Linked DNA regions of Rhinolophus ferrumequinum. The protein of the gene in region 1 binds, or shares a complex with, the protein of each later gene. Links are inferred from orthologs where the notes say so. Each region holds a gene or a part of one and is shown in the gene's direction. Other genes may lie near its edges.

Region 1 (3,914 bases):
CCGATGTCCCCCACGCCCCCGCCATCATTCCTTTCATAATGTTGAGCCAAATCCAGTCTCTGAAGGACAATTCCCCACATGTATTTTGCCCCAGTGTAGCTCTATAAATCTCACTAAATAACTATAGGAACCCCCACCTATGCATCTCAGTATCAGTGATCCACAGCTCAGAAAGCATAAAAGAACAAAATTAATGTTTGAAAATGTATAGTTTTCTCTGCCAGACATATTTCGCCAAACATACCCTGGTAACCCACAAACTCAAAATAGTGAAAACTTCCATTCTCTCTTAACTGTGTTTTATACTTAGTGGACTATCAAAATAGGCATGGCATAAATAACTCCATTTTTCTAAAAATTTAAACAAAGCTTGATCCCGAAGTTTAAACAGAAATAGTCCTAATAACATTGTCCTGTGCAGTAATTTTTAGTGGAGTTAATTCAACTCATGTTTCCTGGGGATAAAAATGGACAGCAATGAAAAAAAAAAAAGGTGGAAGAAAACAAATGTGACCTTGATGTCTCCTCTAATGCACATAATCTCCACATCAGTTCCTTTCATCCTCTGGTGATGTTAATCTTCTGTTTATTTTGCTACTGTAATTCTAAGTACACGTAGGTAACCCAGAGATTGCTTTCTCAAAGTTGGTCTATGCCTGTTTTTTCTTACCTCATAAAAAGAAAAAAAAGTGTGTGTGTGTTTTTGTGTGTCCTGTTGGTGGTTTAAAACCGAGTTGGGACTTCCTCTTTGAACAGTTGCCTTTTCCTCTAACACAAGGGAGATCTCATTTTGTTTGAGACTGTATACAGTTGAAACCAAACCACACACCAACGAGAGGGTATGATGGCTAAGAAGCCCCCAAAACCAGCCCCTCGCAGGATCTTCCAAGAAAGGTTAAAGATTACTGCTCTGCCCTTATACTTTGAAGGTTTTTTATTAGTCAAGCGGTCAGAATACCAGGTAAGTCAAAGATGATAATGTTAAACTAGAAGCTTCTGTCTTCATATAACATTTATTTCATGGTGATGTGATACGACAGGGGCCTCCTTGTTTCTGTTGGGATTAAACCCTCTTCCTTTAGCTCAGAAATATTATTACAATTTTGCACAATTTAAATACAATGTATGTCTTAAACATATGTTTTATATATATATATATATATATATATATATATATATATATATATATGCATTGTATATAATAAAAAGTTTCTTATTGTCACTGATGTTAAAACAATCAATAAGCTAAATTTCCAAAGAGGTCATTAAAACATTACAGAAGATTTGGGCTTAGAAGATGAAATGTTTCCTGTCTTTTCTCTGCAATTTACCACTATGCTTTCATGATGACATACCAGTATATCTTTAAGATAAAATATTATAATTGAAATTAAACCTTCTGCTTCTATTCTCAGTGGTTTGAAGTTTATAAATAATGGTCAAATTATTTTTTAAAGTGGTAAAGGTTTGTAAAAAATTCTGAAAATGATAAAATTGATACTGTTTAACATTATGTATAATAATATGTTCTAAAAACACTGTTCAAGATAGTGACTTTAAAATATAATACTTAGGATGTTCTGTGGGTAGTGTGTACACTATGCAACATAAACACATTTACTCTAAGAAAATTCACAAAGCATTCCATATTTTTAAAATGTAAAAATGAAAACTTTATAATTAGTTAAAATGAGTGCTTTAAAATAGCAATTGTGAATAATTAATGATAAATAATTAAAATGAATGGAAGAAATGAACATGAAGTATCTGTTACTAAAGAAAAAAATCAGTAACTTAGGTCAAATTTTATGAAATTTTAATATTAACTGAAACTAGAAAAAAATTAAGTGTTTTGATAAATGCCAGAAGACATGCTTAATAGTGATAACAAAAATATATTTTGAGGATTTATTGATATTAAGGAAAAAATGTGTATTTGAAATACCTATAATAGCACATATGTCTTGCATACATAATCAGATAATTTAATCTTTGAGAGTAAAGACATGGTAATTTGTATTCTGTAATGGGTGCTAAACATGTATTAATAATATTTATCAGTTACATTGGAATGTTTTTTGGGAGATCCTATATGCTCTATTTTTCCCCCTGCCTGACCCTAAATGCTTGAAAAGTTTTACCTGATGGTTTTGCTGCTCACAGCTTGTGATCTTATACAAGTTACTCAATGTCCTTGGGACTCAATTTCCTCAACTATAAAATGGAGAGAATAGACTTGCCTTCCAAGGTACAATGCCTAGGATACACTAGGTGCTCAATGTATTCATTCAAGCAACCTCCTATGCACCAAGCAACACACTCAGTTCTGGAGTATATGAATAAAACACAAAGTTCCCTACCTTCAAGAGCAAGGAATGATGACTCCTGTACCTGATTGTTCCTGTATCTTTTCTTAGAAAGCATGCTTTGAAATGGAAAGAATAAACTATAGGCATCAATATTTCTGATGAAATTAACTGGTGTTTCCACTTGCATTCATAGCAAAGCATCTTTTACTTGTACTCGTATGTCAGGGAGAAGAGAGCAAGAGAAGGACAATAATGTCTACTAATAGAGTGGTTTCAAGGATTAAAGGGATAATATATGTAAAACACCTGGCTTACACCAAAGGTTAGATTCATTCTCTTCCCATTTCATTATTTATCATATTCTTATTAATATACTAAAATCAGTTTTGAGTTCACAAGTAATGTCTCAAAGGAGAGCCACAGTGATAAAGTGCTTGGAAATAGAAGCTATGAGATAAAGCTATGGAAAATAGTGGGATTTCTAGGCAAGTGGCTGAAAAGTGCCAGGGAACCCTTGAAAGGAAGGTGAGCCCAGGATATATAGAAGGTCATCTTTGGAGCTAATGGGCCGCAGAAAGTTGGGAGGCTCTGCAAAATGTTTAGTGAAGTCTCTACTGAAGGAATTCAGAGTATTTAAACTAGGGAATATATAACTGAGGAGTAACCTGGTCTATAAAGAGATTACATGTTAAGAGGCGTTTCTTAGCTGTTTTTGTGACAGGGCACATGTGGTGTCCCGCGCGTGGAGGGTTGTTGCGAGCGAGGAGGGCGGTGCAGGGTTAAGAAATGACAGTAGCTATGAATAGAGTGTAAGCGGGGCCAAGGGACTGCAGCCTCAAGGACTGGGCCCAAATCCAATCTGGCCTATTCCTTAGCTTTTATTAGTTAAGTAGGGAAGTAAAGGAGATAAAGCTTGTACATCTCAAGTTCTATGAATCCTAGACATCATAATAGGAAACTGATTCAAGCCAATCACCCGTGCCTGCAAGCAGCAGAACCGTAAGTCTCAGGATGTATGTACTTCCCCAAAGGACAAAACCTTTATGCATATGAAGAGATGGAGAGCACATCACTGAATCTCTTCCCTTGCAGGTTGTGGGAAGGAATGCAGCCACAGAGGCAGAGGCTTTCCTTAGCCGGGGATAGATGGGGGTCTGTGCTCACCTCTATCGACCCTGTGGATTCTCCTGTTGGTCCCCACTCGACTGAGCCTGGCTTGAGTTGTCCTCCCCCCCCCCCCCCCCACCCACCCCCCCCCCCCCCGTAGGGAATCCTACTCATCATTGGCTGACCAGCCATCTTTCTGGGGCCAAACGGAGGCATAAGGTGCAAGCACAAAGGTGTAGCAAAGTCCCTGAAAGGATCCGTTTCAGACTCTCCTTTCTTTAGGGGCAGGTACAAAGAGAGAGACGGGTAGGCTGCTGCGTGGCAACAGGCACATCTAAGAATTTAAGGGGCTTTGCCCCCAGGAAAATGTGCCAACATACATTATTTAAAATGCAATTCCAGAAGTTCGGTGGATGCCGAACTCATTAAAAGTACATAATCTTCACAGAAACGATAATGTGGGAACATTTACTTAAACCACAGCACTAGAATTTTGGA
Region 2 (3,914 bases), on another chromosome or scaffold:
CAGATCTCGGTTTCCATTTAGGTCATGGCAGGGCCGCCTGCCTCCACTTCCCCCTTTGCCAGCCCTGGCTGGGCCTGGGCTTCGCGAGGTCTTGGCCACCCCTCGCTGGGGCCACAAGACACAGCCAGGCCCAAGCTGAGGGGGGCCACCAGAGCTAGAGAGACCGGGCTCTGAAGTGCCAGACTGATGCGGAGTCGGGGGGGGGGGGGGGGGGCCCTCGAGGGCTTCCCTGGGGGTCTCTGGTGAGTGGGGTGCCACTAATAGTTCCATGGCCTTGGTCAAGTTACTAATGGCCAGCAGCATGAGTACTCCAGCATGACTCATGGGGTTCCCTGTCTCTCCCAGGGAGCTGTGCCTTCCAGACCTTACATCGCACCTTCCCCAAATGAGGGAAAAGGCTGCCACAGGCACAGAGCGGTCAGAGTGGGGCTGAGACCTCACTGTTCGTGCTGTCACCCTGCTCCGTGCCTCCGTGAGCCTCATCTGGAAAATGGGGGGGATGAGATGCAGCTCCCAGGAGGAGTGTGATTGTCCTTCTGTCCTTCAGCTTGGCTTCTGTCTTGCTCCCACCAATGCCTGTGGCTGTCATTCCTCTGTCGGCTGTCTCTGTCTTGAGCCGTTTGTCTGTCTGCCCTGTCTACCAGGTCCCCCGTTCTATGTATGTGTGTGTACTGTGTGTCTCATTCTTGGGACTCTTGCTCTCTGAGCGTCTGTCTGTCTCTGGCCCCCTCATTCTGTGTGTCTCTGACCATCTGAGGATCTCTGTCTTCCTGTGTCTCACTCTCCCTCTGAGTCTGGTCTCTTGGTTGATCTCAGGCTCAACCTCTGCCTGTCTCTCTCTGTCCCTCTGTGTGTCTGTGTATGTTGCGTGTATGTATTTCTCTTCCTCATTCTCTCCCTGCCTGCGTATCTCTTTCTCGGTCTCTGTCTCTTTCTCTCTCTGGTTCTCTGTGTCTGGGTAACTGGGGGGGGGGGGGGGTTTACAGCGTGGGTGTGTATTTCTGTGTTTGTGTGTGTTCTTAAGTGTGTGTTTCTGCATGTCTTCCTCCCCCCTCTCTGTGTGACCGTGTGAACACCCCCATTTATTGTCTCCCTGTTCCTGTGTGTGTCTTCCGCCCCCTGTGACTCGTGTTTACATATGTGTATTTAATGTGTGTATGTTTGTGTGTCCCTGTCTTTCTGTTCTCTCTGTGCCTGTTTGTCGCGTTCTTTCTCTTTCTGCCTCTGTGTGTGTGTGCGTGTGTGTCTCCGCCTATTCACAGCACAGCCTGTCCGGCAGGGCAGCGGATGTGAGGGATGATTCAGTGGCTGACAGGAAGCCCGCAGTCTTGCTTGCTGCCCGCCAGTGTTTGCAACATTGGCGTCAGCTCGGGCAGGTGTGTGGGCTCAGGATGAGGTGGTTGCCGTGAAGAGCCCCCGACTCTCAGGTAAGCCTTCCCCAAGAATGCCTGGAGGCTGGCCCTGGGGCAGAAGTCCTGAGGTGCCCACTCCCTAGGGGTTAGAGTGGCCCCGCTGGCCCAGCAGGAGCACTTGGCGACCCGTTGGGTGGGGTGGGAAGATGTCAGAATGCCTCCTTTGGCCTCAGTCCTGAACTGGCCCTGCGACACTCAGAGGGCCACCCTGTTTCTGGGGCTCTGGCCACTTTCCTGCCCTCACCTTCTCCAGTTCAGCCTGCACAACCCTGGGAAGCCCCCAGGGTGGTCCTGTAACTTCCAGAGATTGGTGAGGGGCTGGGACAGTGGCTGCCTACGTCCAGGCCATGAGCCTTGGTTTCTTCATCTGTAAAATGGGACTAACATCCCGGCCACTAGGCTATGGGAGGATGGGTAAGACTCTACAGGCAAGCGTGCCCAGGTCCTGCCCAGGCCAGATGGAAGCAGCTATCCCTGCTGCCCCACCCATTCCCCAGCCTGGCCTGCCAGCCTTCTGCTGGGGCTCCGCGAGGCTCTAGGCCCTGGGGAGATCCTGGTGCCCAGCTCTGTCAACAAGTGGCCCTGGCCTGCATCAGCCCCCACCTCTGTGCTAGGACAAGGACTGCCCAGGCCCTCTGAGCACTGAGAACGCCTCCATTTAGAAGCCTCTCAGGCCAGCCTTATGTGAAGGCCAAGGTTATTTGGGAAAACAGAACAGACCCCAGAGCACAGCCCAGCATAAGGAGCCTTTCCAAGACTCGGGCCGGGACCTCTCGCTCCACCCTCACCTCTCAGCCTGCCCTGAGGCCCTGGTGGGCCTTTGTTTCCGCCTGCGACAGCATGACAAGGGCTGGGAGAGTGGGCAGTATCATCTCCAAGGTCCTTTTGGGCAGGAGGCTCGGACGCTGAGGCCCACTCAGCCCAGCCTCTAGGGCTTTCCCACAGCCGGCTTGTTGCAAACCTTGCTCATATGAAAACTGCCCACTTCCCCTTGTGCTATTTCGGCCCACAGAGCCACGGGCTGTGGCAGCCTCTCTCCCCACCCCACCCAGCCCTGCCTGGTTTCTTGGGGCCTCCTGGGGCGGCTGGGCCGGACTGTCCTGCCAGCAAGCCTCCTTCCTCTCCCTCCACCCTCACCCTGCCCCATCTGCTCCCAGAACATAAGTGGAAATCAGTGAGAGGGGACAGATTTATTCAGTCTGAGGGACAAGGGGCAGCCACAGGAGGATTCCTCAAATTAGCTTCTCTTAAAAAATATTTCATGATTCTTAAAATGTAATATAATGGGGTGGCCGGTTTGCTCAGTTGGTTAGAGCATGGTGCTAAGAACACCAAAGTTGCCAGTTCGATCCCCGCATGGGCCACTGTGAGCTGTGGCCTCCTTAAAATAAAAAATAAATAAATAAAACAATGCAATATAAGAAAAAGGCAAAAGGGTGTGGCCTTTGGAGGCAGCTTGCCCTGAGTTTGGGTCCTGGCTGTGACTTTGGACAGAGTGCTCACCTCTGGGCCTCCCTTGGGAAGGAGGAGTGGTGTCTCCTACGTGATGCTTCATGTGTTTGTGACAACTGACTGAGGCAAGGCTGGTGTCCCCAGCCCAATGCCCTAAAGGGGCAGTGGGGGGAGGCTCAGGCCTATGTGTCTGAGAACCAGGTGGGGAGGGCTCCCCATTGTTCACTGCAGGGCCCACCAGCCAGATCCAGCCCTGACAAGCTGTGGCTATGCCTGCCCCTTCCATGGGGACCTTGATGATGGCCAGTCATGGAGGTCACAGCCAACCGTACCCTGCCCTGCACTAGCACCTTACATGTGTCATCTCAATGCCAGACCTCATGTGACAAACCCACGGGTAGAGTGTCATTATTTCCCCCATTTAACAAAGGGGCAACCAAAGGCCCATGAGGCTGGGATTCAATTTTCGTTCCTAAGCAGAATTTTTGTTCTCATGCTCCCTTCCCCACCCTCCCCCAGAGCCAGGTGGGTGGAGATGGACCAGGGCTGAGAGCATCCCCAAGTATACTGCTCACCCCAGGAAGCAGGAGGGCTCTCTCTGGTGGCCAGGGTCCTCTGGCATGGAGGGCCACCCTTCCTCAAAGGTTAGCAAGTCAGGTCTCAGCCTCAAATCCCAGGCCGAGTGTGAACTTGGTCCAAGGTTCTTAAGCAGACCCTGGGGTTGCTGGGGGTGGACTTGGGTCCCAGCTCTCAGGGAGCATGTCTGCAACCCACCCTGAGTGTCTGTGCCCAAATGTCCTTTGAGGGCAGAAAGATAGTTGCTGTCCTAAGCAAAATCCAAAGTTGTCAAGGGTTAAGAGGCTGAGGAAGCTGTTCCAATCAGCCAGCCAGAAATAAGGCCCTCACCAGATTTCAGGGCTTCAGGAAGCCCCGGCCATGAGCCAGGCTGGACATGACTGATCCCCATTTTACAGATGAGAAAACTGAGGCCAAGAGATGCTGAGGCACAGGCAGGATTTGGCCCCAGGAGTCCTCCCTCTAAGGCAGGTG

Evidence for each region.
Region 2: the proteins of STAP1 (region 1) and LAT2 are in contact, whole or in part, in a crystal structure (PDB 3MAZ), measured with the Homo sapiens proteins. The link is inferred for Rhinolophus ferrumequinum from reciprocal best matches to the Homo sapiens genes STAP1 and LAT2. Residues at the interface, in NP_001304698.1 of Homo sapiens: Arg184, Arg203, Pro204, Gly205, Ser206, Ser212, Ile215, Gln217, Ile219, Lys225, His226, Tyr227, Lys228, Glu239, Leu240, Glu241, Tyr255, Phe256, Glu259, Thr260, Arg261, Asn263, Leu264; in NP_054865.2 of Homo sapiens: Asn134, Ser135, Tyr136, Glu137, Asn138, Val139, Leu140, Ile141, Lys143.

What each region holds. Positions count from the first base shown.
Region 1 is NC_046288.1:26,700,346-26,704,259, forward strand, and holds the start of STAP1 (signal-transducing adaptor protein 1), read left to right. Parts: upstream 1-768; 5' UTR 769-841; coding exon 842-961; intron 962-3,914. UniProt on the Homo sapiens protein: In BCR signaling, appears to function as a docking protein acting downstream of TEC and participates in a positive feedback loop by increasing the activity of TEC.
Region 2 is NC_046290.1:93,769,334-93,773,247, forward strand, and holds the start of LAT2 (linker for activation of T-cells family member 2), read left to right. Parts: upstream 1-1,051; 5' UTR 1,052-1,427; intron 1,428-3,914. UniProt on the Homo sapiens protein: Involved in FCER1 (high affinity immunoglobulin epsilon receptor)-mediated signaling in mast cells.